Linked DNA regions of Oryctolagus cuniculus. The protein of the gene in region 1 binds, or shares a complex with, the protein of each later gene. Links are inferred from orthologs where the notes say so. Each region holds a gene or a part of one and is shown on either strand. Other genes may lie near its edges.

Evidence for each region.
Region 2: DHX9 (region 1) and IGF2BP1 share a complex: the UniProt entries of both Homo sapiens proteins name them as parts of the coding region determinant (CRD)-mediated complex. The link is inferred for Oryctolagus cuniculus from reciprocal best matches to the Homo sapiens genes DHX9 and IGF2BP1.
Region 3: DHX9 (region 1) and HNRNPU share a complex: the UniProt entries of both Homo sapiens proteins name them as parts of the coding region determinant (CRD)-mediated complex. The link is inferred for Oryctolagus cuniculus from reciprocal best matches to the Homo sapiens genes DHX9 and HNRNPU.
Region 4: DHX9 (region 1) and Y-box-binding protein 1 share a complex: the UniProt entries of both Homo sapiens proteins name them as parts of the coding region determinant (CRD)-mediated complex. The link is inferred for Oryctolagus cuniculus from reciprocal best matches to the Homo sapiens genes DHX9 and YBX1.

The regions. Positions count from the first base shown.
Region 1 is NC_091444.1:1,072,247-1,077,202, forward strand, and holds part of DHX9 (ATP-dependent RNA helicase A), read left to right. Parts: intron 1-89; coding exon 90-242; intron 243-1,686; coding exon 1,687-1,847; intron 1,848-2,523; coding exon 2,524-2,635; intron 2,636-3,385; coding exon 3,386-3,547; intron 3,548-3,647; coding exon 3,648-3,775; intron 3,776-4,728; coding exon 4,729-4,956. UniProt on the Homo sapiens protein: Multifunctional ATP-dependent nucleic acid helicase that unwinds DNA and RNA in a 3' to 5' direction and that plays important roles in many processes, such as DNA replication, transcriptional activation, post-transcriptional RNA regulation, mRNA translation and RNA-mediated gene silencing.
Region 2 is NC_091448.1:25,184,486-25,189,953, forward strand, and holds the start of IGF2BP1 (insulin-like growth factor 2 mRNA-binding protein 1), read left to right. Parts: upstream 1-1,935; 5' UTR 1,936-2,322; coding exon 2,323-2,497; intron 2,498-3,587; coding exon 3,588-3,648; intron 3,649-5,468. UniProt on the Homo sapiens protein: RNA-binding factor that recruits target transcripts to cytoplasmic protein-RNA complexes (mRNPs). This transcript 'caging' into mRNPs allows mRNA transport and transient storage.
Region 3 is NC_091444.1:64,891,489-64,896,444, reverse strand, and holds part of HNRNPU (heterogeneous nuclear ribonucleoprotein U), read left to right. Parts: intron 1-1,778; coding exon 1,779-1,918; intron 1,919-2,354; coding exon 2,355-2,454; intron 2,455-3,479; coding exon 3,480-3,592; intron 3,593-3,869; coding exon 3,870-4,133; intron 4,134-4,401; coding exon 4,402-4,521; intron 4,522-4,956. UniProt on the Homo sapiens protein: DNA- and RNA-binding protein involved in several cellular processes such as nuclear chromatin organization, telomere-length regulation, transcription, mRNA alternative splicing and stability, Xist-mediated transcriptional silencing and mitotic cell progression.
Region 4 is NC_091434.1:59,356,330-59,361,208, forward strand, and holds Y-box-binding protein 1, read right to left. Parts: upstream 2,725-4,879; 5' UTR 2,710-2,724; coding exon 1,696-2,709; 3' UTR 1,174-1,695; downstream 1-1,173. UniProt on the Homo sapiens protein: DNA- and RNA-binding protein involved in various processes, such as translational repression, RNA stabilization, mRNA splicing, DNA repair and transcription regulation.

The DNA.
Region 1 (4,956 bases):
ACAGACCTCCCAAGCAGGCCCAGCTCTCTGGAGAGGGTCCCTGCGTCAGTGGCTGTGTGTCTTAGAATTAACCTCTTCTTTGTATTCAGGCAGAAAGTGAAACTGTTCACTGCTCACAACAACATGACCAACTATGCCACGGTGTGGGCGTCCAAAACAAACCTTGAGCAGCGGAAAGGGCGAGCTGGCCGTGTGCGGCCTGGATTCTGCTTTCACCTCTGTAGCCGAGCTCGTTTTGAGAGGTGAGACCAAGTGTTGAATGAAGATTGAGGATTTGTTTTTAACCCTTCATGCATCTTCACTGCACATAGCCCCTGGTTTCCTCTGCACTTTGCCATGAACTTAGTGAATTCAGGGTATAAATGCCTCCAGGTAGTGCCTTAGAGGACGTTCCCTGAGAAGTACAGGCATTATTTGAATAAGGAGACTAAATTTTGAGCTCACTTCACCAAGACTACTTCAGAGCCAGGATTGAAACCCAAGTCTCAGTTACATTCAGAGCCTATGAGGCTTCTTGGGGGAGGTGTGTGGATGGGCCAGTTGGCTAAAGATACCCTTTGTACATTAAAGGTGAAAGTAGAGTTGTGTCTGGGGGGTCTTTGTGCTATACACTTGATAATAAAGGGGAGAGTTTGGGGCTTGTATTAATGCGCACGGGAAAGTACGATGTGGCAGAAAATTACTTCAGTGCCCAGGTATACATGGTATGCAGAGGAAAAATCAGATTCGGTAACATCAGACTCCCTTGTAATTCTAAGTACTCTTACGTAGCTGTAGATGAGCATTAGAAGTTAGGAAATTGGCTGCAGCATTTGGAATACGTTTAGTTCTTTGTAAACATTGGCTATTCACTTGCACTGAAGAAACAAATACTGTTTGACATCTTAGAGTAAAATCGCCTACTAATTAGTAACAATGTGAGATTTTTGCTCTTTTGTCTATAGTGGGAAGAGCAGATATGCTACTTTTGTAGACTTGAATTAAGCTGATCTGTCTTGCCAGCAATGTTGGAATTAACCCATGAATCTTCGTTGTGAGTAGTTTATAGGAAATGAGCCTGGATTAGAAGTGTACAGACCTAGATTTTAATACTGTCTATGCCTAATACCGATACATGGCATAATCCTAAATATTTAAATTCTTTAGGACTTTGTTTACCCCTCCCATAAAATGAGACTACATTACCTGGCCTGTCTCTGTGTTCTTAGTCATGAGAGGATGAGAGTAATGCCTAATCTATCTATAAGATTGGTGTGAAAAAAAAGTGAGTTAATAATGTCAAATTCACACAGCAGTGCCTGGCACAAAGGAAATTCTAACATTATAATAACTTGTATTTGAATTTTAAAAGGTTAGTTGATCTGTAAGACCCTTCCCAGTAGCACTAAAAGTTACATAGACAGAAAGTCTTGCTGCTGTTTTAACCAGTGTTTGTCAACAGACAAGAGACCTGAGGAAGCTATAGGTAGTGACATTAGGGGAATGGATCGTCTCTCCAGCCTTCCTTCAGTTGAGAGTACCACCAGGCACTAAGTCAGAATCAGCTGAAATCTTGTCCAGAGAATGTCTGCATGTTTAATTATGAAAGATGGAGAAAGGGCAGATCTTTGTATCCATCATTCCCTTGCGAAGCCTTTATTAATATCTGCATATGCAAAAAGGATGTTTCTTCTGCTCCTTCCCCAGACTGGAAACCCACATGACACCAGAGATGTTCCGGACACCACTGCATGAAATTGCCTTGAGCATCAAGCTTCTGCGTCTCGGAGGAATCGGCCAGTTTCTGGCTAAGGCGATAGAGCCCCCGCCCCTGGACGCTGTGATTGAAGCGGAGCACACTCTGAGAGGTGTGTGCACTCAGACCTGTGCCTGAGGACCCCACGCAGCACGTCAGGGGGCTGTGAAGGGAGGGCTTTCAGTGTCACTTCATGTGCTCAGTCAAGCCATCATTACAAAGAAAACTTAAGAATGGGATAATGTTCTCATTTTGGGGGAAAAATTAAAAGGGAAAAGGTAAGGCATTATCTCTTAACTAGTACTTAAAGATCAGAATATCGTGATGCCCATAAAATTTTATATGCATCTCTTAGAACATTTATTTATGTCTTATCAGAAACAGTATACGAAAATACAAGGGTATTGCAGCCAAATGCTTCTGAATTTCAGTTCACCTGCCGTGTGAACTTCAGGTTTTGCTTTTGCAGATTTCTTTTCTTTCTCTAAAAATCATCACGAGATGGGTGTCAGACTTTGAGGCACGTAGGTACTTGCAGTGCTGTTACAATTAGCACCATTACAGACTTCTCACGGCATGTCCTTCATGCAGGGCGCTGCAGAGTTGGGTTCTACTCCGTTTGTGAGGAGAACTGTGGGCTGCAAGCATGGTGTTGGCGGTCAGGCTGACCGGTGTGAGGTCCTAAGTGCAGCGTCGGTGCCCTAACAGTCCACAAAGAAGGCTGCTGCCTGTCTAGGGCCAAGGATGTTTGTTATGACCTCTGCTCACAAGGAATTATCTCCCCGCAGAGCTGGACGCACTAGATGCCAATGATGAGTTGACTCCTCTGGGACGGATCCTAGCTAAACTCCCTATTGAGCCTCGTCTTGGCAAAATGATGATCATGGGGTGTATTTTCTAGTAAGTATGTTGTTTTATTGCTGACAGTTAAGTGACAGAAAGTTTCAGAATCAAAACCCTCCCCCCATAAAAGCAAGATGGGCTCAAGTAGAAGAAACTCAGGCTTCAGAAGTAAAGAAAAGCACGCTGTGAGATAAGAAACGGGACTTGTTCCCTTGTTGCTCATCTCAGGAGCTGGGGTGTCTCTTGGAAGAAAATAGTCTTAGGAAAAGAGGTGTGGGTGTGTGTGCATACAATTTTTTTTAGAGATGTATTTATTTGAAAGAGTTAGAGGAAAGGAGAGACAGATCTCCCAGTGGCTGCAGTGCTGAGCCAGGCCGAAGCCAGGAGCGTTGCCCAAGTCTCCATGCAGGTGCAGGGGCTCAAGCACTCTGGCTGTTCCTCCTGCTTTCCCAGGCGCTTCAGCAGGGAGCCGGGTGGAAGCGGAGCAGCTGGGGCTCGATCGGCGCCCACATGGGATGCTGGAGTTGCAGGTGGTGGCCTAACCCATTCTGCCACAATGCCAGCCCCAAAGAGAGTTATTTTACCACAGCATTTGGAAGGTGAGAAAATGGAAAAGGACTAGGAAAGGAAGAATATAGTACTTGGTCATAGTTTATGGTAGATAGGTGGCCATCAGCTCCAGAGTTGATTGTCCCCTTCTGCTCTGAGGAGAGCAGCTGTAATGTTCCCTCACTCATCAAAGCCGAAAGACTCCAGTCCACGTTTGCCAGTCCTGCCTCACCTCTTGTGAACGTGTGTGTGTTGCAGTGTGGGAGACGCTGTCTGCACCATCTCTGCTGCTACCTGCTTCCCAGAGCCTTTCATCAACGAAGGAAAGCGGCTCGGCTACATCCATCGGAATTTTGCTGGGAACAGATTCTCTGATCACGTGGCCCTGTTATCGGTATTCCAAGCCTGGGATGATGCCAGGTATGGGCTTGAGCTTTGGGTGAACTAGCTCTAGTTTCTAATTTGTACCTAGATCTCTGGTCTTTGAGAATGACCCCCTTAATGTCCTAATTTATTTTAGAATGAGTGGAGAAGAAGCAGAGATACGTTTTTGTGAACACAAAAGACTCAATATGGCTACACTGAGAATGACTTGGGAAGCCAAAGTTCAGCTTAAAGAGATTCTGATTAATTCTGGATTTCCAGAAGGTAATTTTCAGAATATTTTCAAAGTGACATCGATGTACTATGTGCACATTAACATGTATTTCAACTTCAGACTTTAGATCCTGTGGTTTTTCTGTGTTTCTAGCCTTTAGTACTTTGTGGTGATAACAGTTTTTTTACATTAAGTCTTTTAAAAAAGGAGGTAAAAGGTTTTCATCCTGAAAGAGTTTGAGAAATGGTGTATCAGTTTGCCCCATGTTCATTTTTAGACTTGACGTGGATTCTCCCATGTTCAGTGGCTTGAACTGAATTTCTGTGTGTAGATGGTTCTAGATGTTCCGTGCCTTAGAAATAGAGACAGTGGTCCAATTCTTCATCTCTTGATGGGAGCTGGAACCATATACTTTAATTGGCAAAATCTTTACAGTGGTCCTGGGTACAGATATTGTCCCAATTTAAAAGATCATAAAACCAACATAGAAGTTCACAGTTTTAAGCTTTATTCAGTGAGGACATTGTAAGATTTCGTCTCAGGCTGAGCTAGAGCAGAATCTGCGCAGGCCTTGGCGCTCGTGTTTCCAGATGCGGTGCTCATGAACTGTAGTTGGACTTGGACGCGCCTGCCTCCATTCCGGTGGGTGTCCTTTGCTGCGTCTCTCCATCTGCACACGCAGCAGTTTAAGAACAACAAATACATTGACCATTGACCTTGGTCCTGCTGGTCACTCAGAGTAGGTGGCTGGCGAGGGATTGTGTTACAAGTTACCACCCCAAGCCTAGGTTTATGGTTGAATCAGTAAGGGAATACAGACATTTAGTTTTCTGATTATGGAGACTCGGCAAAATTTCCTCTTGAGCTTAATCTGGGTACAAGGCTTCTGAGAAGAAAAAGGCTTCTAGACAGATCAGTTCTTTTATTCTTGTGTAGTTTGCCTGTGATGTGATGATTGGCCATTACCTGATTTTTTTTTTTTTTTAAACCTCATTCCTAACAGATTGTTTGTTGACACAAGTGTTTACTAACACTGGACCAGATAATAACTTGGATGTTGTTATCTCTCTCCTGGCCTTTGGTGTGTATCCCAATGTGTGCTATCACAAGGAAAAGAGAAAGATTCTTACCACCGAAGGGCGCAATGCACTTATCCACAAATCGTCTGTTAATTGTCCTTTTAGCAGCCAAGACATGAAATACCCTTCCCCCTTCTTTGTATTTGGTGAAA
Region 2 (5,468 bases), on another chromosome or scaffold:
GACAAAACGCCGGTTTGGGAGGGTGGGCTCTGAAGGTGGTGGAGCCGGCGGAGGCCGCCCCCCGCCCCCACGTCCCAGCGCCAGTCCTGCTCCGCGCGCAGGGGAGACCGGGAGGGGGGCCGGAGGCGCCGGGTGCTGTCCGGGCGCCCCCGACCCTCGGGGCCGTGGGTCCCCCGGCCCGAGGGCGCGCAGCCCGAGTCGGGGCCAGCTCTAAGACTCTGCAAGGATCAGCAGTAACAATACAAACCCCGGGCGTTCGTGTTGGTGTAGGCAACACGTGTTCCGGAGTCGCCCGGGCCCCAGGCGACTGAGACAATGGGGTCGGGGACCCGGGAAGGGGGGACCCCCTTCTTCACCTGCCCTCGCCGTGCACGCGCCCCCGACAGAACTAGTCTCCTACCTCCCCCGCAGACCCCACCCCCCCGGAACACCCCACCTTCCGCCCAGCTCTGGAGGACCCCGGCATTCCCGAGGGTCGACCCCCCGCGCTTCTCTCCTGCGCCCGCGGGCCGCGCTACCCGCCACCCCCGGACGCCATCCCAGCCCCCTCCGCCAGAAACGTCGCCTCCGCTCGCCGCTCGGCCGGGGATCCCGGGCGTGCGCGTGGGGCGCGCGTCCCGCTCTCCACCGCGGATCCGGACTCTGAAGCGCGCGGAGAGCTGCCCCCTCCCCCACTGCCCAGACGGGGTGCGACCGCCCACGTGTCGCCCCTCGCCCAGCCTAGTCCTTCTCTCGGGCTCCCGAGCCCGCGGATCCGGAACGAGTTGGTCAAAGACGAGGGAAGGGATCTGGGCGGATCCGCTTCCCCCTCCCCAGGAACGGGCGAGCGGGAGGGACCGCCGCCCCCTCCCAGAAGCTCCCGCCCCTCGCTTCCCCCAGCGCGGAGCGGAAATTACCCCCTCCCCCCGCGGGTCTGACCTGGGGACGTGGGCGGGGCTTCGCGCTGGGCCCCCGCCCTCCGCCCCTCTCCCGCCTTCCCGAATCCTGCGCCCCAAACAAAGTTCCGAGACCCAAACCCAGCGCCCGCCGGAGTCGTGGCGGCGTCCCGGGGCAGGGTGCGGGCGCAGGGGACTCCACCTGTCTGCCCCCGCCTTGGGGGGCTGGGGGCCCGCTCGGGTCTCCACCCGATTGCACCCCGCCTGCGCTCCCCTACTCGGTCCGCTTGGGTTAGCCGGAGCTGCCACCCGGTTCCCTCGGTCCTGGGGTCGTCCCAGCCGGAGCTGCGCGGTCCCCCGGGAACCCGAACATTATCATTTAGTGGCTAGTACCCCGACACGGGCCCGCGCTTCTCCAGGGGTGTCCGGAACACTATTTCCTGTGAGCTCCTGCTAACCCGCGGCGATCCCCCGTGTTCGCAGGGCCCCGGGTCCTGGATCCCAAGAGGTGGGGGAGGCTCGCGGGGCTGGGGCGGGGAAGGGAAGACCTCCCCCGCCCCCGCTTCGAAACCTAAGGAAAAGGCGCCTTTCTTTTGAAATCACCGGCTCGTGCGACCCCCTCCTGAAGACCCCAGAGTCCCCGGCTTCTCTTTGTCTGTCTTGGTCGTCCCCCGCCTGTCAGTCGCTAGCAGTTAACCGGGTGGGGTAGGCAATCCCGCGCCCCAAAACCAGTGGAAAAATGACCACACGTTTCGCCCCAAAGACGGGAGATTGGGGGCTCGACCACCCTCCCCCAGTTCAGGCTGGGGTAGAGGCAGGGGGAAGGGTGGGGGCGGGGCGCATCCCCGGGGGCCAGGTTCCTGCCAAGGGGGAGGGGGCGGGCAGAGCCTCGGGAGCGTTGCACACCCACCCCCCGCCGCCGCCGCCCCAGTTCCCTCTGAGCGTGAGCCGAGTGCCCCCTCCCTGCCCCCGGGAGGGAAGCTGTTGGGCCGGGCCGGGTTTTCTGGGCAGTGGGGCCCTGTGGCGTCGGGGGTCTTCCCCTGCAGGGTGGGTGGGGGCTGTCACCACGTGGCTTCGGCCTTTTTTTTTTTTTCCGCTCCATTTTTTTTTCAAGTCGGTTTTATTTAGAGGCGGCGCCAGGGCGGCCGCGGAGAAACGTGACACGCCAGCCCGCTCGCAGGGGTTTCGGAGCGAAGGCGAGGAGCAGCGCCGCGCCGTCCGCCTCCCAGCGCGCCGCGGGCACTTTCCGGGCTCCCCCGAACTCCGCCGCGACCTCCGCGCGCCCTCCTGCCGCCCTCCGCGCCCGGGGCTCCGGGCACACTCCCGGGCGGGGTGCACACAAAGTTTGCGGCCGCCGCCGGCCTCCCCGCGCTCGGCCTAGGCGGCTCGCCGCCCGCCCGCCCGCTCGGCCTCGCCCGGCACCGCGTCCTGCCCCGCCGCCGCCACCATGAACAAGCTATACATCGGCAACCTCAACGAGAGCGTGACCCCCGCGGACTTGGAGAAAGTGTTTGCGGAGCACAAGATCTCCTACAGCGGCCAGTTCCTGGTCAAATCCGGCTACGCCTTCGTGGACTGCCCGGACGAGCATTGGGCGATGAAGGCCATCGAAACTTTCTCGGGTAAGCGCGCGGGCCGCCTCCCCGAGCCCCGGGCCGGTTCCCGTACAACGGAGGCCTGTGTTCCGAACCCCCCCCTTCTCCGCCGCCCCGGCCGCCAACTGCTCGTTCAGCGAGCATGCGGGGCCCGGCCTCGCCGCTGACCCTCGACCTGCCGCCTTCGACGCCCCCGCCCCCTCCCGGGAATATTCGGGATTTCCCCACCCTCGGTGGGCTGCTCGGGCTCCCTTCAATCTCCACTCCCATCGCCGGGGCTGCAGCCCCCCTCGGCGGTGGCGGGGGGTGGGTGGTGGTCCGAGGGCCACGAGACGACCCCGTCTGGGCGCTCGCTGCATGTTCAGCCCCTCCCTAGCAGCCGCCAGACGGCCCCCCAGCTGGAGCACCCTCGCTCCCTTCCTAACCCTAGGCCTTCCCGGGCGCGGAAGGGGTCCCCGCCCGATCCCCGAGCTCCCCGCCGTCCGTGGGGATCACAGCCCTCGGGCAAGACTGGGGAGGAAGGGGATCCCGCCTCCCGCCCAGGGCCCGGGGCTTGAGCCATTTTGATTTGAAAGTGGGGCGTGAGCGGTGGCGCGGCGGCGCGGGTCGCCATGCTGCTAACCGAGACGCCGAGGCTGGGCCGAGAGGCGCGCGGCGCGGGACCCTCCCCGCCAGGCCCCGCGCGGCTCCCCCGGGGCCTCGGCGTTGCAACCCGCCCGACAGGTGACCGCCCTGCCGCCCGAAGCCCTTGTCCTACGCGCCACAGTAAAATAAAGTTTGATTCTGCACCCCCCCTCCCCGAGCAGCGGGAAGTCCTTTCTCTGCTGGCTGCGGCTCCGCACATCTGGGAGCCGAACGGGTAGAGCGCCCGCACAGATCACCTCGAACCTTTCCCGGTTCGGGTTCTCCTAGCGATTCACGCCACCAGCTCCGTGGTGACGCAAAGCAGAAATTAAGAGAACATAATAACGAATTGATGGCATCCGGCTGCGGGCGCCACTGACTTGCTTCCGAGGAGAAATCGGGTCCCAGGAACTTGAATTTCCCGAGAGCCCCCTGCCTCAACACCCCTGCCCCTGTTCACGCGCTCACGCTAATTTTTTTTTTTAATCTTTAGGAAAAGTAGAATTACAAGGAAAACGCTTAGAAATTGAACATTCGGTTCCCAAAAAACAAAGGTAGGAAAGAGCGCTTCTCTTCTCTGGGGGGGCGGGGGGAAGGGGACAGAGGTTGGCGAGAGGCCGTGGTCGGGGGTCCACAGCGTCCCCGGGGGCTGAGACCTGGCGTTGGCTTCTCATCCCTCGACTCGGGATGTTGGGGGCTGGGAGGCAAGACTGGAGATCTTGTCATGGGTGGTTTACAGCTTGGAAAAGCAGGAGAAGTTGGGGATGGGGTGGGCAAACAGGCGGTACCTGCAGACTCACAGGGGAGAGAATCAAGCAGAGGGAAGCACCTCGTGGGGCTTGCCTCAAGTGTGGGGCCATTTTGGTGCGGAAGCTTAAAATCTTAGTTCAGGCTTCCTGCAGGCCCCATTTTCCGTCAGGCAGGGTGGTTCGGAAGTGGACTTAGGGGATCCCTTTCTACTCCACTCTGGTGGAGACACAGGTCTGCCCCGCGCACCACCACCCCCCCCCCCCGCCCCGCAGAATTCCCTTACCCTTTATTTATATTTCTGCAACAGGCAGAGACTTCCTACAGACTGCCGCCCCCAGTTCCTCCCACCCCCTCCCCACCCCCACCCCCACTGGCTTTCCCTGAGAATATGCTTTGGCCCTCCTGTCCTGTGGCGGCCCCCACCCCGGCTCCTGCAGCCCATTGTTACCAGGGGGCCATCTGGGGTGAGAGCTTTGTGTTAGGGCTGTGAGCTGGGGCTCTTTGGAGGATCTAGAACTCCGTGGATGAATGGTGTGTGTGTGTGCGCGCGCGCGGGCTTGCGCGCACCCGTACTCCTTATCCTTGGGCCAAACAGGGTGCTTTCTGAGAATTCATGGCGGATTTCGCATCTTTCATTGAACTCTGAAATCTCGAGTTGAGCTCTGGCTAAGGAAGTGTAAGCACAGCCTTCTCTAGTTTCCCAAGCGTGGTGACAGTACCGAGTCTTCTGCTGTTGCCGGCTGGGTTGGCAGTGGCCCCCTGGAAGGCTTCCATCCCCCTTCCCCCTTCGGAAGCAGTTCTTTTTCTAAGTGGGAAGGGGGTGTGTTTGGGGGTGGCTTTGCTTTTAGAGGGGTGGTTAAGAGGATCTCCAAAGTTTAACCAGAGATAGAAATCTGTCCAGTGGTTGAGCTTGATGTATTTAAGCAACTTGGAACTATTGTATCAATAGATGATCAATATGGCTTGTTACTATGTTTATAGAGCTTCTGATTAACCTCAGATGCCTGTAGTACTGTTACTGGAAAGGCAATTAGAGTGAGGAGTGAACAGGCATACAGTTGGAAGAAGGAAAAGAAGTCTTATTTAATCTGAAGCATTTTCTGGAGATGGGAACTGGGAGAAAGAAGTATGCAGAACCCAGTAGATTTATGGAAAAATTCTGGATATTTGAATTGAAAGCTAAGTGGTGTTGGTGAGAAACACTCAGAATAACTGGAATTGTCAATGTATAGATTTTCTTTTGCTCTAGAGAGGATGGTTTAAATTTTAAAGGGAATGAAGTGAAAAGGAAGAGAAATAGCAAAATGTGGTGAAATGGAACTCAAAACATTTATATTTTAATTTTCATGGTGCTCTGTATGTATGGATCTTTCTCCCTAAGCCATCTGCTTGCTTTTAAGCCATTCCTAGCCTCTTGTTCCCTCCAAAATGGGGCTTTTTTTCTTTGAGTTGGAATGGGGAGGGGGTTTGAGAAGCCTGGGTTAAAAAAAAAAATCTCCTTTTCCACACTCATATTAAATTAGATCTTTATTCCTGAAACACTTTTTGTAAGTCCAAACATTGCATTGATTGTGTTTTCTTTTATTTTCTTATTTTTTGGTGGATGGAGGTGGTGAGAAAGGAC
Region 3 (4,956 bases), about 64 Mb from region 1:
TTTCACCCGCTCCCCCACGCAGTCCTCAAATGCCTTGGGTTTTTTTGACAATGTTAGATTGCAGTACGTTTAACCTAAGTGCAGAAAACATGTACAGTTTTCTAAAAAGCAAAGATAATGATTGATACCCAGAGTGCAGTAGTTTAATATTAATATGCCATCAGTTGTGTTGAATTGATTTTACAGGCTTTGGCAATTTTAATTGTAATTTAAAGCTTCTTATTCTTGAATGTGAAATTGATGCCAATTTTGGACTAGTTAGCTAATGGAAACTGTTAACGTGTCCTACAGTAATTTCCTTTTATTTTGGGATTGTTAAGTCAGCTACTTGGGCTGGTTAAATACTTAACTGATGACTTTTCCCATTAGCACTCAAGTATATTCCCTATTCTAAAAGACTGTAATACTATTTCAATAACTGCTCTTTTGTTCTCAATTCCAGTTCAGTAGCTGCTGCTTTAACATAAGTTGATTTCTTCCAAAGACCTGGGGCAGCAGCAGTGGGCCATCACTGGGCCACTAGCTTTCTTCAGCAGCGAATGGTATCAATGGCAGCACTGTAAATACTACGTTACCCAGTTGGGTTGCAATCGAGTATGCGGAATTATTGCAAACCTTTAAATGGGCCGTGGCTGTCAGATTTTACTTAAATTACGTTGGGTTAGCGTTTGATCAGAATAGGATGCACCAGTCTTTCCAGTGTGAAATAGAACCAAGAGTAGAAATCGTACTTGAAAAGTTAAAATGTCAAGTTGCTCTGGTAAGGCGGAAGTTAGATTCGGATGCTTCCTTGTACAGATTGTTGATTCAGGTGATAAATGGTGATACCTCTGATTTCTTACTTGAATACCCTGTACAGGTAGTTAAGAGTTGAGTCTTTGGGAAAAAAATGCATATGGAAAAGGTGGCTTGAAATTTTGATGTCAAAATCAGTTGCTTCAAGTTACTAGCAGTTACCAAGATGCTGAAGCACTGATTACAGGAGCAACAACAGCTTCTTGAAATCATAGTTCTATCAGTGATCAGGAATTTCAGGAGCAAAGCTAATTTAAAAGTTCCGAACTGTAGGTTTCCTGTCCTGTAAAAAGGAAAAGAGCCAGCTTTCTACCTTGACTTTAGCTGTCCCTCACGTGACCCAGAGGTAGCTAGATTAAAGATGCTTTGGATTTGGATGACCTGATTAAGAGCTTAATCCTTAATTGTTGCTAATACACAAATACACAAGACCAAAATGCTGTAATATTGACAGTGTTAGAAGACCAGATTTGTATATTCCAAGTTGAGGCTGCCTTGCCTTATTCCTAAGATTTAGAAAATAATTTAGGACTTAGGAGCCTAGTGTTAAAGTACGGGATCAACAGCTCATACTCCTATGTTCAAATATTTGGCCGTGGCCTCCCTTCAGTTTTATTGTGGCACTGGTAAATTCTACCTGGTTCTGGCATGCTTCACTTTGATTTCCTGCTATCCTCTACTGCGTGCCTCTAAATCAAGGTAAAGAGCAGAGCAGGTATGTATCCATGTCACATGTCTTGTTTTATATTCTTAAAGACATTAAGCCTTAGTTTATAGGCAGTTTACTCTTTAGTACTTAATTTGATAAGAATGGTGGGAGTGGGGCTTACACGGAAAATTGGGAAAACAGCATGGTGTTAAAAACTGTTTTCTGCAGCATTAAGAAGTACATGAAAAAAATTTAACATCCAAGTTTTGTCTACATAGCAAATAGATTTCCATTGGATGTCAAAAGAATAATATGGTATTTAATATAATTGCAGATAATTGTGATCTACATTTTAAAATATCAAGAGATCGCCTCAGTGCTTCTTCGCTTACTATGGAGAGCTTTGCCTTTCTTTGGGCTGGAGGAAGGGCATCTTATGGTGTGTCAAAAGGCAAAGTCTGTTTTGAGATGAAGGTAAATGCAATGTTGTGAGGTTTCTGGAACCTTCATTTTGTAATAGTGAAGCAAGTTTATTTATCAGAATTTGCCCTATAGAGCCAGCCCATACATTATTTAGGGCACTCCATTATATGAGGCCCTTGAAAAGGGCCACCAAAGAGTTAAAATTTCTTTTGGTTAGAGTGTTGGTTTTATGAGAAAAACATCAATTGAGAATGTAATTTAAAAATATTGTTCTAAAAATCTAAATCAACCAAGTATTTAATTTTAAGTTATAAGCCCTTACATCAATTGGAAAATACTGGGAGTGGGGTAGAGTTGGGTGTCCTGTCTTTGTATAAATAGCTAGAGAAGAATTTTAGGTACCCATAGCCCAAGTGAGATAAACCAGGCACATAAATAACCTACCTACCTTGGTTTACAGTTAATGATATAATGACTTAACTTTCAGGTTACAGAGAAGATACCTGTAAGGCATTTATATACAAAAGATATAGACATACATGAAGTTCGGATTGGCTGGTCGCTAACCACAAGTGGAATGTTGCTAGGTAAAGTTTACATTGAGTACTGCAAGTTCATGAATGTCTGATTTCATTAACTATCTGCAGGCATTCAAAACCTTTTCTTGTTATTTTCATTCTGTTTTAGAGAATAGTAACAGTAGGCAGAGTCTAAATTTGCTTTTGTTCCTTTATGGTTGTTTGAGTTATGACTAATGGCTTGAGCAGCATACTTTTTTTTCTAAAGACTGATTTATTTTTTGGAAAGGTAGAGTTAGAGGGGGAGAAGAGATCTTCCATCCGCTGGCTCACTCCCTAAATGGCCGCCATGACTGGGGCTGGGCCATGCCAGTGCCAGAAACAAGGAGCTTCTTCTGGGTCTCCCTCATGGGTGACAGGGGTGCAAGAACTTGGGACATTTTTCCTGTGCATTAAGGAGGAGCCTTTTTAAAGATTTGATTTGAGAGGTAGAGTTGTGGACAGAGGGAGAGACAGAAAGGTCTAACATCACCAGTTCACTCCCCAAATGGCAGCAACAGCTGGAGCTGGACTGATCTGAAGCTTAGGAGCCAGGAGCTTCTAACAAGGTCTCCCACTTGGGCCATCTTCTACCGCTTTTCCAGGCTGTAGCAGAGCTGAATTGGAAGAGGAGCAGCCGGGACTAGAACCGGAGCCCATATGAAGTGCTGGCACTGCAGGCTGGGGATTAACCTGTGCCACAGGGTTGGCCCCTGTATACAAGACATGCAGTTTGTCCACAAATTTTATTTTGTAATAGGTCCAGTTAGCCTTCATCAATTTTTACATCTAGTGTAGAGGTAGTTAAAACTGAATGCCAATGATGGATTCTTAGGTTATTTAAGCTACTTATGAAAACTTCATGTAATACTGGAATTACCTATTCCAGTGCAAAAACTCCTGAAATGCATGCAGCTTTTTGGTAATACACATTTTCTGTGAACTTTTGAAGACTACTTTTGCTTAGTTTCTATTACATCCTATATTTTGAATAGTAAACCAGGCGGGTCTTTGGATTGTTTTAAATATTTACTTCATGAAAATTACTTTTTTAGGTGAAGAAGAATTTTCTTATGGGTATTCTCTGAAAGGAATAAAAACATGCAACTGTGAGACTGAAGATTATGGAGAGAAGTTTGATGAAAATGATGTGATCACCTGTTTTGCTGTAAGTCAGGGCTGCATAATTCAGCCTTCACTGTGATCAACAAGGTTAAGATTTCATTAGTTATCAGGAAAAATAAAAATTTTGAGAAACAAAGCAGATGAATTTTGAAAGTGTAGCTCACTTTCTAGGGCACTGTTTGTGCTTCAGTGTTTAGCTATCAAAGTTCTTAACATTTAATGTTTACCACAAGATTAAAAGTCATTCCCAGTTATGAATTTTTGCATTTTCTCAGAAAGCCTATAGGAAGTAGATTAAAGTTGTTTTTCTGTTTGAACAGAATTTTGAAAGTGATGAAGTAGAACTCTCCTACGCTAAGAATGGACAGGAGCTTGGCGTTGCCTTCAAAATCAGTAAAGAAGTTCTTGCTGGACGGCCACTGTTCCCGCATGTTCTCTGCCACAACTGTGCAGTTGAATTTAATTTTGGTCAGAAGGAAAAGCCATATTTTCCAATACCTGAAGAATATACTTTCATCCAGAATGTCCCCTTAGAGGACCGGGTTAGAGGACCTAAGGGCCCTGAAGAGAAGAAGGATTGTGAGGTAAGCGATTTTTATTTTCAGCTGTGGCATGTGAAAGATCGCTTTTGGTTGATAAAAAAGTGACAGATACGGATGAGTGTTGTGTTTTCATTTGCTTTTTCCCAAATGTAGTACTTAATAGTTCCTTTAACGTTGGAGTGTTAAACTTTCTCAAGTTGTCTTCCTGGGTCTATGAGACTGGATTGCTGAATTCCTAGATAATAACCAGAGAGACTTACAGTTAACTTGTAAGGATGAGACAGTGAATTAATGTTTCTTTGCTGCACAGGTTGTGATGATGATTGGCTTGCCAGGAGCTGGAAAAACTACCTGGGTTACTAAGCATGCAGCTGAGAATCCTGGGAAATACAACATTCTTGGCACAAATACCATTATGGATAAAATGATGGTAAGTAAGATGTTTAGGAACTGATCTCAGCTTTTCAAATAAACTACAAGGTTCTCTAGGCTCTTGTTTGCCTGTTGCTATCTTTCATTTTGGTACCTTAGAGATACAAATTTGAACAAAGTCAAATTAGTTTATTTATGTGAAAGGCAGAGTTAGAGAGGGGGGAGTGCTCTCTTCCATCGACAAGTTCATTATCCAGATGGCTCCCACCATGGCTGGGGCTGGGCCAGGCCCAGGCGGGAGCCAGGAACTTCACTCCGATCTCCCAAGTGGGTGTAGGGGCCCAAACACTTTGGCCATCTGGCTGCTTTCCTAGGATATCAGCAGGGAGCTGGACTCGAAGTAGGCCGCTGACTGCTGCCCATGTGGGATTCTAGCCTCGCGGGCAGCAGAGCCAAACACACAGTGTGGGCCTCCAGATTGGTTATTTAAGCT
Region 4 (4,879 bases), on another chromosome or scaffold:
TCTTAAAAACTACCATTCTAGAGCTATGAGGATTACACAAATTTATGCCTGTGGTGTAAGCTGCCTGGCACCTAGTAGGTGTTCAATAAATGGCAAATAGTTCTGCTCCACAAGGTGCAGACATTAAGTTGATCTGGACATGACCAGCAGAGGGCGCTCCCAGTACTATGAGGTTTGGTCAGCGGCCTTTTGGTCTTTAATCCAAAAGGCCTCTTAGATTTTCCTAGCAAGCCCTAAATCCATTAGACTAACATTTACTATATTATATTATCTCCCTTGATTACACAAGTAATTAAGCATGGTGGTGGCGTTTCTTAATGATAACTGATATTTAGAAATTTAATAGACGTGCAAGTAATTTTGGGTAGTGAAAAGTAAAATGCCAAGTTTTAAAGGTCACACAGGATGTGAAAGCACAAAATTCCCAAGACCTTTCCTCCAGCCTGTACGGTGGCAAGCAAGAGTAAAATGTATTAAACATCAAAATTATCAAAATATTTTATTTTGAAAAAAAAATTTAGTATCATGGTCTCAGACTGGCTTATCCAAATCCAATGACCACTAATAATCACGCTCTTTAGTTCATACACAATAACAGCCTACAAAGGCCAACCACTTCTGTCCTCTATTATTTTACTTCTATTCTATTTAATTCTAGTCTAGTATGAAGTTCAACACAGAGATAAATGTTCTTAGGGAGTAGTGTCACACTCCATGGCTGCAATTTCATAAATCTAGGTTGATCCTGACTCACTAGTGGACCTCAGAACTCTACAAAAACCGGGTCACTGTGAGCTTGATTCTAGGTTCAAGGTCTCTGCGAGGGATCTTTATTCCTTCTTCAAAATCCTACAAAAGCTCTACACAAGTCCTTTTAATAACTGCAGCAGAAAAATATAGCCCAACTGACATATTAGCAAGCATAACTTAGAGGAAAAGTTACTCTTTAATCCCTAATAATTATGATACACTTACTATTCACAATTCTTACACATGACATCACAATGAAATATGTATTATCATCATTCCAACTTTACAAATGGGGAATCTGAAACAAGGACACAAACATCACACTACCAAGAGTGGGAGGAAGGGTTCAAACTCATACCCTCAACTACCACCCTGTGCTTCTGTACAAAGGATCTTCAAAAAGTTCATGGATAATGTGTATTATTTTTTTTTTATTTAAGACCTTTATTAGCAGGTGCTTGCAGTTTGTTGACTTTTTTGAAAAAATCAAGTTGTAAACTTTTATTACAAATTAAAAATGAAGTTCTTAAAAATCTCAACTTGACCAGATATGAAACAATTTAAAAACCTTTAAAGGTGTATTGAGAAAAACCAGGCTTTTTTAAAAAACACGTTTGTCGTTACCAAAAAGAGACATCTTTAGGTAAAAATAATAAAAACCCCATGCTGCATAGATAATGCAGATAGTTCTAGTAATCTGGTCAATGGGCAAAAAGCAAGCACTTAAGGTCTTCAGCTCCAATCTTTTGTTCATTTCTTATTGCTGGAATTTCATATTCATTTCTTCTTGTTGGATGACTAAACCGGATGATGGTAGAGATGTTAAGCCGGCATTTACTCAGCCCCGCCCTGCTCAGCCTCGGGAGCGGACGAATTCTCAGCTGGTGGATCGGCTGCTTTTGTCTCTTTGCCATCTTGTGGTTTAGGGTTATCTGGGCGTCTGCGTCAGTAGTTGAAGTTGCGGCGGTACCAACGCTGAGGTGGCTGCTGACCCTGGGTCTCATCTCCTTGGTTTTCCTTGTCTTCTTCATTGCCGTCCTCTCTAGGCTGTCTTTGGCGAGGAGGACCTCTGCGGAATCGTGGTCTATAACCCCGATACATATTCTGTCTCACTGGTCTACCTTGTTCTCCTGCACCCTGGTTGTCAGCACCTTCCATCACTTCTCCCTGCACAGGAGGGTTGGAATACTGTGGTCGACGCCCATAGGGTCTCCGCATGTAGTAAGGTGGGAACCTTCGCCTGCGGTAGGGCCGGCGTTGTTGGGCCTGGCCTTCGGGAGCGCTCTCCGATCCCTCATTCTTTTCCCCACTCTCACTATTCTGGTAATTCTGCTGGTAATTGCGTGGAGGACCCCTACGACATGGGTAGCGTCTATAATGGTTACGGTCTGCTGCATATTTACTGCCTTGCACTGGAACTCCACCAGGACCTGTAACATTTGCTGCCTCCGCACCCTTTTCTCCTTCAACAACATCAAACTCCACAGTCTCTCCATCTCCTACACTGCGAAGGTACTTCCTGGGGTTATTCTTCTTTATGGCAGTCTGGTGTACAAATACATCTTCCTTGGTGTCATTCCTGTTGATGAAACCATATCCGTTTCTTACATTGAACCATTTTACTGTTCCCAAAACCTTCGTTGCGATGACCTTCTTGTCCCCGCCGGCGGGCGCCGCCAATGTGAGGCTGCCCAGGCCACCGCTCCCTGCGCCGCTGCCCGTGGTGCCGGGCTTGGTTTCCACGGCGCTGAGGGCGGGGGCGGCGGGCGGCTGCTGGGTCTCGGCCTCGCTGCTCATAGTTGCGGTGATGGTGACTGGGGCCGGCTGCGGCAGCTGAGGCTCCTCCCGGGGTGTGATGGTAACTAGGCCGGCGGTGGCGGTGGGGCTGCTCAGGGCTCTCTGGGGTCCGCTCTCCGCTCCCGCTACCGATCGAACTATGTGTATTATTTTTAAAAACATGCATTTCAAACATGTTTGTACCCAGATACTTCTCTTTAAATTCCACTTTCCATGAACTTTGAGGTTGCCTCATACAATGATTTATCTTTAGTGCTCTTCCATTTTAAGTATCAAAATATCAGCATTATTAATAATCCTACACAACATTAATTCTATTTCTAAATAATCTACTACTGTTTCAGCCTACTGTCGCTCCCCCTCTTCATGGAGGAACGACACTAAACCCTGCCTAGGCTTCATATCCGAGTCACGGCACCATTATGTCGCTCCCCGTCTTCGTGGAGGAACGACACTAGACCCTGCGCTGTTCTTTTGTCTGCTCGGCCCTCCCCGGGTTTGCTGCTGGTTCTTCCCAGGTTGGCTACCGTCCCTCCCACCTCCGTGGAAGGGCGGTTCCCCCTGCCACTTTCCCCACTTCCGCGGGGGAGCAGCACACCGCCAGCCGGCTCTCTCGGGGGCTGCACAGGTGTTCCTCTTAGATGTTCCTGGTGCATGTTGTCTCTCTCCTCCTTTATAGTCCTCTTCCACCAATCCCAACTCTGCTACCCACACGCCGAGTATGCTGCTCTCCTCCAATCAGGAGCAGGTCCTGCTGTTTATTGGTTGAACTGGAGGCAGCTGAGTAGAAGCTGTTTACTCCTCTCCCAGCGCCATATTGTGGGAGAGCAGATGCATAGAATAAGTCTTAATTCCAGTAACAGTCTAGTCTGAGTTGCTCCCCACAGATCCCCCTTTCTTTTTATTTTTTGGCGTTGATACGCGCCTGTCTTCGGTGCCCCGTGGCACACACTCTGCTCTGCTTGCTGGAGTTGCCCACAGGTTCTTACAAGTCCTATCAATCAGGCAAACCGAATCCGGGTCCTCTCTTCGCCATGTTGTGAGGTTTTTAGGCGCTGATGCGTGCCTGTGTTCGGTGCCCTGCAGCGCATGCTCTGCTCTGCTAGAACTGCCTGCAGGTGCTTACAAGCCCTACCAATCAGGCAAACCGAATCCAAGCCCTATCATCGCCGTCTTGTGGGGAGACTTATTGGTGTTGATAACGTGCCTGTCTTCGGTGACATGCAGCCGCTCACAGGTGCTTATCGTCTTACTAATCAGGCAGACCGAATCCAAGCTCTCTCATTGCCGTGTTGTGGGGAGGCCTTTCTATTTCTCTATCTCCAGGCATTCCTATTTCTCCTATTTTACTTCTATCTGCCAGCATTCCTATTTCTCTCATTTTACTTCTATACTTCTATTTCTCTTATCCCTGCGGCATCCCGGCGCCCGCCCCGAGGCTGCTTCTTGGCACCTTGCCCCGCAGCGGCTTCCCGGCTCTGTGCCACTTCCCGGCTTCGCGCATGCTCCGCGGTCTCCGCTCCCCTTCACACCCGTACCACAGCCTTGCGCTAGCCCCACGTTCCCTATCTATTCGTGCCCCGCACGCTCTCTCTGCGCGCGGCAGCTTCCGCAAATCACACAGCCTAGCTCACGTTTCCGCCACCGGTATTCAGTCTAAGTTCCCTGGGCTAACTTGGCGAATTCAACCTAGCTCACGTCTGCGCCTTTCGGTTTGGCTTCCCGTCTTTTGCTCCCCGGGCTAATCTGACGGATTCCAACCTGGCGGCCCACGTCTCTGCCTCTGGTTCCAGATTTTCGCCTTTTGCTCCCTGGGCTGACTTGAAGAATTCCAAGCTAGCTTACGTCTCCACCTCGGCCTGCCCCTGCGGCTTCATCCTCCCTAACATTTTTCTCTACCCGGTATGTTTCCTAACTTTTCTTCCAACAATATTCCCCTTTCATTTCTCCTGGCTTCTCCCCACAGTCCGTATCCAAGTTTGTTTGTTCTAGCTTTCACTTTCGCTTTCAACCTTAGAGATTTCTCCCAGCTTCCCCTCGTAGTCCGTATCCGAGTCTATGCCTAGGCTTTCAATAGCTTCTTCCGGCACCTTTTCCGTCCGGCTTTTCCCTAGGCTCTTCTAGTCTCTCTCTCCGGTATTTTCCCACTTCTTCCCATTTCTTCCCTCCTGGGTTTCCTATCCGAGTCACGGCACCATTATGTCGCTCCCCCCTTCATGGAGGAATGACACTAAACCCTGCCTAGGCTTCATATCCGAGTCACGGCACCATTATGTCGCTCCCCGTCTTCGTGGAGGAACGACACTAGACCCTGCACTGTTCTTTTGTCTGC